Linked DNA regions of Macaca mulatta. The protein of the gene in region 2 interacts with the protein of the main gene of each other region in a pairwise test. Links are inferred from orthologs where the notes say so. Each region holds a gene or a part of one and is shown on either strand. Other genes may lie near its edges.

What was found.
Region 1: the proteins of SDCBP2 (region 2) and FAM133A interact in binary tests that used the Homo sapiens proteins (3 or more experiments, as listed by UniProt). The two-hybrid records come from large-scale screens. The link is inferred for Macaca mulatta from reciprocal best matches to the Homo sapiens genes SDCBP2 and FAM133A.

What each region holds. Positions count from the first base shown.
Region 1 is NC_133426.1:99,944,455-99,948,845, reverse strand, and holds the start of FAM133A (protein FAM133A), read right to left. Parts: upstream 3,057-4,391; 5' UTR 2,953-3,056; intron 2,546-2,952; 5' UTR 2,473-2,545; intron 1-2,472. Other genes in the region: NAP1L3 (nucleosome assembly protein 1-like 3), read left to right, coding at 3,920-4,391.
Region 2 is NC_133415.1:82,824,083-82,828,413, reverse strand, and holds the start of SDCBP2 (syntenin-2), read right to left. Parts: upstream 2,955-4,331; 5' UTR 2,811-2,954; intron 1-2,810.

The DNA.
Region 1 (4,391 bases), on a different chromosome or scaffold from region 2:
GTTCAGTCTGAGTATACTATCAGATTCTGTGTTATGTATCATCTCATGTAGAAGCATTAACATTTAGCCGCCGTCCCACAAAAAAATCATCTAGTAATTGAACAAAGAACATATCACTATGCAAATAATTTATATATAACCTTATTAAGAAAAATAAGCATATGATATGATAAAACTAATATGTACATTTCACAGTAGAACAAATAGGATATAATGCAGCAATTAAATTGATTATGAAGAAAAAGCTTATTTTATTTTAGATACCTACTACATAAAATTAAATAAACTAATCAACCAAAAAAAAGCTACAAAAATAAAAGTGTGTTACAAGATACTTATGGATACACAATTAAAGTAGAGAATTGTGATTAGAAAAAATCATCTACTTTCAACATTTTCATTGCCTATATCTAGGAAAAAATAATTCCAAATTGAAAATCACAATTGTTGATTAATACATTATTTTTATATGATGCTTTTGTAAGCTTTTTTCTATTTTTCATCTCCATGTTCCATTCCAAACTTTTCCAGGATCAGTGTGAGTGGTTAAGTAGTTATCCGTAATCCTTGAAAAGCATCCAAAAAAACCCCCAAGCATCCCCCCAAAAAAAAAACCCAACCAATTTTAATATGAAATTTAGTCACATTTGCCCAATATCATGCATTATTTCCTGAAGAAATCATAGTTGTCTTAAGTAAGTCAAGGCCAAAATCATTTTACCTTTAGGATTTCACCATTGATTAACTTCTTGCTTAATTCAGTAGAAAACAAAAAATATGAATAGACAGTTCTCAAATAAACATAAACATATGAAAACACAATCTTACCACTAATCTAAGAAATACAAATACTAATATTGATAAATTAATTTGGAGATGTTGATTACAAATGTAAATGTAAGTAGTGATTACTTCTCAGTTTTATTTTGAGTTACTTTTAATTTCTTCTTTGTATTTCAATGTATTGTCTGACTTTATCAATGAACACATATCATTTTCACAAAATGTAAAGTTATCTTAACACCGACTCATTAGTTGTTTGCAACTAATGGATCAGAAAAGAATTTAGAAACAGACCCAAGCAATTTATTTAATGTGATCAAAGTAGCATTTCAAGTAAGCAGGAGATAGAAAGATTACCAAATAAATGGTACTAGAAGAATTAGCTAGCTAATAAAAATAAGTATTTTAAAAATCTGGATCCCTACCTCATGACTCACTCTAAAATACTAATTCCTGATGCTACAAAGTTTAAAACATAAGAGCATACTTTTTGTAAAATCTCCATAATTTAAAAAGAAATAGTGAGTCTCAGAACAATATTTATGGTATAACACCATTGATGTAAATCATTGTTTCTATAACATATGCTTTGATTAAAATTATTCAGCGAAAGGATATGCACTTAGTAAGTTTCATTCACCATTATACTACAATTCTCTACCACATTTGCCCAGCATACGACAGGCACAAAAATATATTAGCTGAATGACAAAAAAAATGAACCTTTATGCACTGTTGGAACTGTAAATTGTGATAATCATTCTGCAGAGAGTTTGGCAATATGTATACAATAATAATTCCATAATATGAAATGATCATTCCCAGGCCATTCATTTCTAGGAATTTATCTTATGACCAATTTTCAGAAGTGCATAGAAATATATGCTTTAGGTATCCAGGGACACTTTTATTATAGCAGGAAAATAATATGTATATAAGGGGAGAGATGGTATAGAAATAGCCACCCTATAAGAGGAATCTGTTCAAATAAATTAAGGCAATTATTTCCATGGAATATGCACTTATTTAAAAATAAGATGTTGATCATTTGCCATGAAAATATAGCCATTAGTAACTGATAAATTAAATGAAAAGACTACAAAACATAATATGGTATCACATAGATAAAGCAGTATACATAAATAGGCAGGTATGTATATGCACAAGGAAATTTCTAGAAGGAAGTGCATCAAAATGCTAGTAATTCTTATCATTTGGTGGTTAAGATTGTGTGTTTTTACTACTGTTGGAATTTTCTGTATTGAGGTTTTATCTTTGCAATGTTCACAGACTTTGACAATTAGAGATATACAATAAAAGTAAATGCATTTATGAGACAGAAAAGCATTTCATAACTTTTAAAAACGTGACTACATGACAAAGCACAAATTCTATAAAGATTAATCTAACTTTAATACAGTTCCTCATTTGAAATGAATAATTTATCATATTTCATATTTTAATTTACAACTTGTATTCTATGACCAGGTTAAGATAGTTAATGTGGTTAAGTAGGCTATTGTCTACATTAGTATGCCAAATTACCTCTGTGGATTTTCCTGTTTCCATAGAATTATCAAGATTATTATCTAAAATAAATCTCTAAATGACTGCATCCTGTAAACTTTTATTCAGATGGAGATGAGTAATTTTTGTCATTCTTTAAAATGTGCTAAATATGATCCTTACCTTTCAATGAAAAGTAAATACTCGTCTTTTTTATTGTACCAAGGTAGTTGTTCTGTAGCAGAAAAAAAAAATCCTGTAAATAAAAATAACAAATACCCGTTTTTAAACTTCATTTTGCAAAAGTTTATTCACATATTACTGGACTTGTAAATCATACTATAGTATGGCTAGAATTTTACAACATTAGAAGGAAATTGGTGGCAGATGACATCGCATACACTGACAGAAGATGCACATTCATTAGCACAAATTCCCCCTCCCATCCCACTGTTCTTGGAATTGAAACCTGCTGCACAAAAGTATAACGCAAATCATTTGCTTTTTAACAATACTACCTAACATTTAATACACTCATTGTTTTATCTACAAGGTTGTTGCAAGCATTGAGAAGGGCTACGTGGCAAGTTAGCAGCAAGGTTGGGGTATATAATATGCCAGCCTAAAAAGAGAAATATAATAAAAATGGTGTAACTGACTCACGGCAACATGGGTTCGCAAACCTTGTAGATGGATATAAACCAGGCTTGCCAAACATCACAGACAGCACTTATTAAATCAGCTTCGTGGAATGCAATACGCCTGCTGTCTAGTCCCTCCCCCCTCTGCCAATAACCGACTCTCCCCTTTTTTATCCAGTGTAAAAATACTGCTCATAGAATATTTAGAGAAAATCGTTTTGTTTTTAAATCGTCCACAGTCACACTACCCAATGACGCCATTTGGACCATTTTCATTCAATTTTTTTTTTTTTTTTCTTTTACAGATTTTTGTCAAGAGACCCGTGACAAACTAAACGGGAATTCAGGATGGGCGGATGGGAGAAGGAAGACACGCCTCTTCTGCCCTTGTTAGGAACTATGGCTGGTATTTTTACCTCATGTCTACGCTTTTTTTTCCTCTTTTAATTATAAAACTATAAATATAGACTTTTTGGGGGGCTCGGGGACACCTTCCAGGGGGTCGCACCTCAGCCGGCGAGCAGCGTCTGGGAAGGTGGGCGGAGCCAGGAGTAGTGGCGTTTGGCCGTTCGTTGGGCGTACGGTTTGTCAATTAAGGTGGACCAGCAAATGAGGAGCGAACTAAAGGCACACTGGGAACGAAATTAACGGGAGGTCTGACTGCGAGGGGAGGGGGCTCGCGATCTAAAACGAGAAGAGATCTCGGGGTCTCATACTGCGCCATTCGGCTGCGGTACATCTCGGCACTGTGTAGCTGCAGCCGGGAGAGGCCTTGCCGCCACCGCTGTCGCCCAGGCCTCCACTGCCGCTGCCACCTCAGCGCCGGCCTCTGCATCCCCAGCTCCAGCTCCGCTCTGCGCCGCTGCTGCCATCGCCGCTGCCACCTCCGCAGCCCGGGCCTCCGCCGCCGCCACTCAAGCATCCGTGAGTCATTTTCTGCCCATCTCTGGTCGCGCGGTCTCCGCGGTAGAGTTTTTCAGGCTTGCAAGATGGCAGAAGCAGATTTTAAAATGGTCTCGGAACCCGTCGCCCATGGGGTTGCCGAAGAGGAGATGGCTAGCTCGACTAGTGATTCTGGGGAAGAATCTGACAGCAGTAGCTCTAGCAGCAGCACTAGTGGCAGCAGCAGCGGCAGCAGCAGTAGTGGCAGCAGCAGCAGCAGCAGCGGCAGCGGCAGCAGCAGCAGCAGCGGCAGCACTAGCAGCCGCAGCCGCTTATATAGAAAGAAGAGGGTACCTGAGCCTTCCAGCAGGGCGCGGCGGGCCCCCTTGGGAACAAATTTCGTGGATAGGCTGCCTCAGGCAGTTAGAAATCGTGTGCAAGCGCTTAGAAACATTCAAGAAGAATGTGACAAGGTAGACACCCTGTTCTTAAAAGCAATTCATGATCTTGAAAGAAAATATGCTGAACTCAACAAGCCTCTATATGATAGGCGGTTTCAAATCATCAATGCAGAATACG
Region 2 (4,331 bases):
GCGCCTCCACAGCAGTCCCACTAAATCCACCCATGGGCTATGTCAGAAATCTGGGAGTTATCCTCACCTCCCTTTCCCTTCTGAAGCCATACCTAATTCTTGCGCTCAAATTTCTGTGACCTGACTTCTGGTAAGGTTTCTGTTGTTACCACGTCGTTTCTCCACACATCATGAAATTCATTTATTCCAAACTACTTTAGGTTGAGTGCTAAAACTCAGCCTGCTAGTTCATGCCTCCATGCTTTTGCAGGTGCTATTCCCTCTGTCTTAAGTGTCATTCATGCCTTCTCTCTTTTCCTTGTTGTGAACTCTTCTTCCTCCAGTTCAAAGCTTTCCCCCACATGTACCCATGGAGATTAGCAAGCCTCCCTTTTCTAGACTACAGCATTTCTTCTATTTGCCTCTTCATCATTCATTCCACAAGTGTTTATTAATCACCTACTGTGAGCAAGGCCTTCTGCATTTCCTGGGTTGGATTTCTTTTGTGCGTGTTTGTTTGCTCATCTCCCTCACTGGTCAGGAAATGTCACTCATTTGTTAACCCCCAGTGCTGAGCACAGTGCCTGGCACACAACAGGCGTCCCATTACTATTTCTGAAAGGAGTGGAAAAGCAGGCACAGAGAGAAGAGAAAGCCTGATATCCTAAATATACAGTCTTTCTTCCCATGCCTGTCTGTGTTTGCAGGCAATAAGTAAAAAGTCTTTCGAAGAATAACCTGGGCCTGGAAAGGGAGAGAAACCACGACCCTAACGAGTTAGGTTGAAAGGCTGCCTGGCTCCTATAATCTGACAATGGAAGTTTGCTCAGTTCTGTGCTGATGGCTTCCCACAAGTAATTGGCTTCTCTGAAAGGAAAAGAACCCACCTAACCCCTCTCTCCCAGAGGAATTTTCCTCTCCCACAGCCCTTTCCAGATTTCCATCCCTGAGCTTCTGTACTTTTTGATATTATAAGCAATAACAACACCCACAGCAAACCAGTAGTTGGGCTTCGGAGATCAGCAGGGCTGACAAGGGGACCTCAGCCCCCATCTTTGAACTTAGAGTGAGAACACTCTGGAACACTTTGTTCCAAAGAGCTGAAGTGATGAGACTCCCACTTGTTCCTGTGGACAGCTCATCCATCCTTTACGAGACAGTGTGCGGGAGGGAAGCGTGGGTTAGAGTGTCAGAGGAATAGCTCCTGGAAGGCCAAATTAGCCCAGGGATATGGTGAGTCGGAATAGAAGAAGCTGTTGCTAGGCCACCAGCATGTCCCCGCTCCTCCTCTCGGGGCTGCACTGCCTGCTGGAGAAAAGGTGCGACTTCCTCATGAACCCAGGCCCAGGCAGGGCAGGGTTCAGACTGACTGCTTCTGACTTGTGAGAGCACAGCATAGTTAAATTCCTTTTGAATGTCATTTCTTCCTTTGTAATCTGTATAACAATAGTTGCATCACAGTTATCTGGAGACTGAAAGATTTTTAAAAAGAGATAAGGTGTATATGGAAAGCATTTAGCACAGTACCTAGCACATAATAGGCATTCAGTAAAAGTTAACTGTTTATTCATTGTTTCAACACTTACTTATTGAGCACCTACTAAGTCTGAGTACTGTTCTAGGTATCAGCAGTGAAGGAAAGAAGAATTGGTCCCCAAATGTACTTTCTTTGGGGGAGGAGCTGGATAAATAGGCTCTGTGACTTTGTGTGCTATATTAGATGGTGGGAGGCACTGGAGAGAAACAGCAGGATGGAGGGTCATGTCAGGAGGTTCCGAAACCTTGCTGGCGGGGTGGGGTGACATTTGAGGAAAGGCCTAACGGAGTGGGTACAGCCATTGCAGAGGCTCTTAGGTGGGAGTTGGTGTTGCGTTTAGAGAGCATCTAACCAGTGAGAAGCCGGTTGCGCAGAGAGGGAGTAAGGAGGAGTAGTGGAGAGGAGGCTGGAGAAGTGACAGGGGCCAGATCCTGGAGGGCCTGGAGGCCATGGTGAGGACTCTGGCATTTACTGTAGTGAGATGGGAGCCACTGGAGGATTTGGAGCAGCAGAGTGCCAAGGTACAAGGGTTATTTTGACAGGCCTCCTCTGGCTGATGTTTGGAGGATGGGCTACAGGGCAGGAGTGGGAGCAGGAGCCCAGGTGGGAAGTGATGGTGGTGGAATTGTCATGAGCTTGGGCCACTATATGTCGAAGCTGCCTGTCCAGTGCCTGCCCAGCCCATAGCAGGCTCGTTTTCTGCCCCATTTTCTGAGACCCTGCCGAGGAGGGCATGCACTGACTCCTGTGTCCAGTATGTCATTCCATGCTCCTGACTTTGTGGGCTATTTTCAGTCTCCAGATGAAGAAGCCAGTTCTTAGAAAGGTGAAGCCCCTGGCACAGTTCCCCAGCAGGTGTTTCAGTGCTGTAGCAGGAAGGTTTTTGATAGAAACAGCTTCAGGCCAGAGAAGGAGGCCTGGGCTGTGGATTCCTTGGGAGAAATGGGCTTTTTGCCTGCCTGCAGCCTCTGGTTTCAGCTGCAATTGGCCTTTCAAGGAGCAAAGTGTGGGTCTCATCTCCTTGAGCACAGTCATGGGCAGTCAGAAGGCACCGGGGGCCCTCATGATGTCTAGGTGAAGAAAATCACTCAGCCATCAATCAAACCTGGCCCAGGGCTAGGATCAGAAGAAGAAACCCCACTTTCACACTTGACTCCTGGAGTGAAGCACTTCAATATGAAGTTGCCTGGGAAGTCCCAAAAGGGAAGGGGCAGGGAGGGAAGGAGACAGGGTGAGGGCAGGTCTCACTCATCCCAGTCCCAGCCAGGATCAGGTCAAGGCCCCCAGCGCTTACCTGCAGGCCAGGTGCTGCTCCACGACCTTCTCCAGCCACTGCCGCTGCTGAATCTGTTTCCCTCCCTGGAAGATAGCCCTGTCTCAGCTGGCTTCCTGCTCTGGGAAGGGTGGTGCCCATCCCCTGTTCAGCTGACTCACCTTGGACTGGGATGGGCACAGGTGAGGGCTGTGGCTGGGTAAACAAGGCAGGTTGCCAGCCCAGAGGAGGCCTTTGGCCTTAGTCTAGATTTGGAGGTGGGATTAAGGCCCTCACAGCTGCTGTTCAGAAGTTTATGAACCAAGACTTGTTGGCCTTTTCTCAAATAGCTCTACATTTGGGTTGGACACCTAGTCCTGCTGATCGCGGAAAGCAGTTGACTAGAGGGTGGTTTGTGGTAGGTATCTAGGGGTCTAGGCCAGGATATTGAAAAGTGGTCATATCCTGTGACCCAGCATTTCTTCTGGGAATTTGTTACAGTGGAGTCACAGCGCCCATCCATCACTGCTGCTTCTAGTAAGGAAAACGTAGAAATCCCAAATGCCCATTTCTGTGGTCTGCTTAAATAAATCATTATCTGTGGAAGATCACAGAGCTATTAAAGTCATTTAAGGAAGAAGGTATGAGGAAATATTTCTGAGATTCTAGTGAGATGTTGAAAAATCAATATTGTGAATCTCCTCTTGCATTGTTTTCATTTTTTGTAAGGTGGATGTGTGTTGAAAGCAGTCTAAAATGCTGAGGATCTCTGGATGGTGGCGTTGAGGGTGAGATTTTCAGCTTGTACTTTTGTGTGTTCCAGGGTGGTTTTCTGTTTTGTTTGGTTTTTGTTTTTTAAGTTAGCATTTGCTCTGAATGCTCATGACTTTTGTAAGGGGGAAGCAATTAAGTTTGATTATTTTAACGGGAATTTAGATTGGTTGTCTCCTGGGAGTGGAACTAAGGAGCTGTGTGCTGAGGTGGAGATTTTTTTTTTAATGGCACATTTTTTGGTGTCTTAAATTTTGAAAAGTTTAAATGTACTACTTATTCCAAAAATAATTATATGAATTTGAACATAAAAGGAGGAAGAATTTAGTTTAGATCCTGATGGGTTTGGTTGGATGAGGGTGCCTGTCCCACTGGGTGCCTGGGCAGGGACGGGGGCCCCGTGTGCTGGCCAGTCCCATGAGGATTGACGGTGTACACACTCAGGGTGTGTCAGTATCTGGGTTGTTCTCTGGGCCAGGCAGGCCCACGTCACAGTCCCCATGAACCACCTGGCAGAGTTGAACTAGCCTTGAGCATCAGATCTTCTGCCTGCCTATGAAGAGCTTACAGCCCAGAGTCCCACACAGGAAACACACAATAGGAGCAATAACAAGAAAGACATTTGCCACTAATTCAGCACTTACTCCCAGAGAGCACAGAGATACTACCCCGGGCACTTTAAAGGCATTATCTCAATGGCTTCTCATGCCTTCCCTGCAGAGTAGGTGTGACTCACACCATTCCTCCAGGTGGGAAACTGAGGCACAGAGGCAAAGTTTCTCTCTCAAGTTA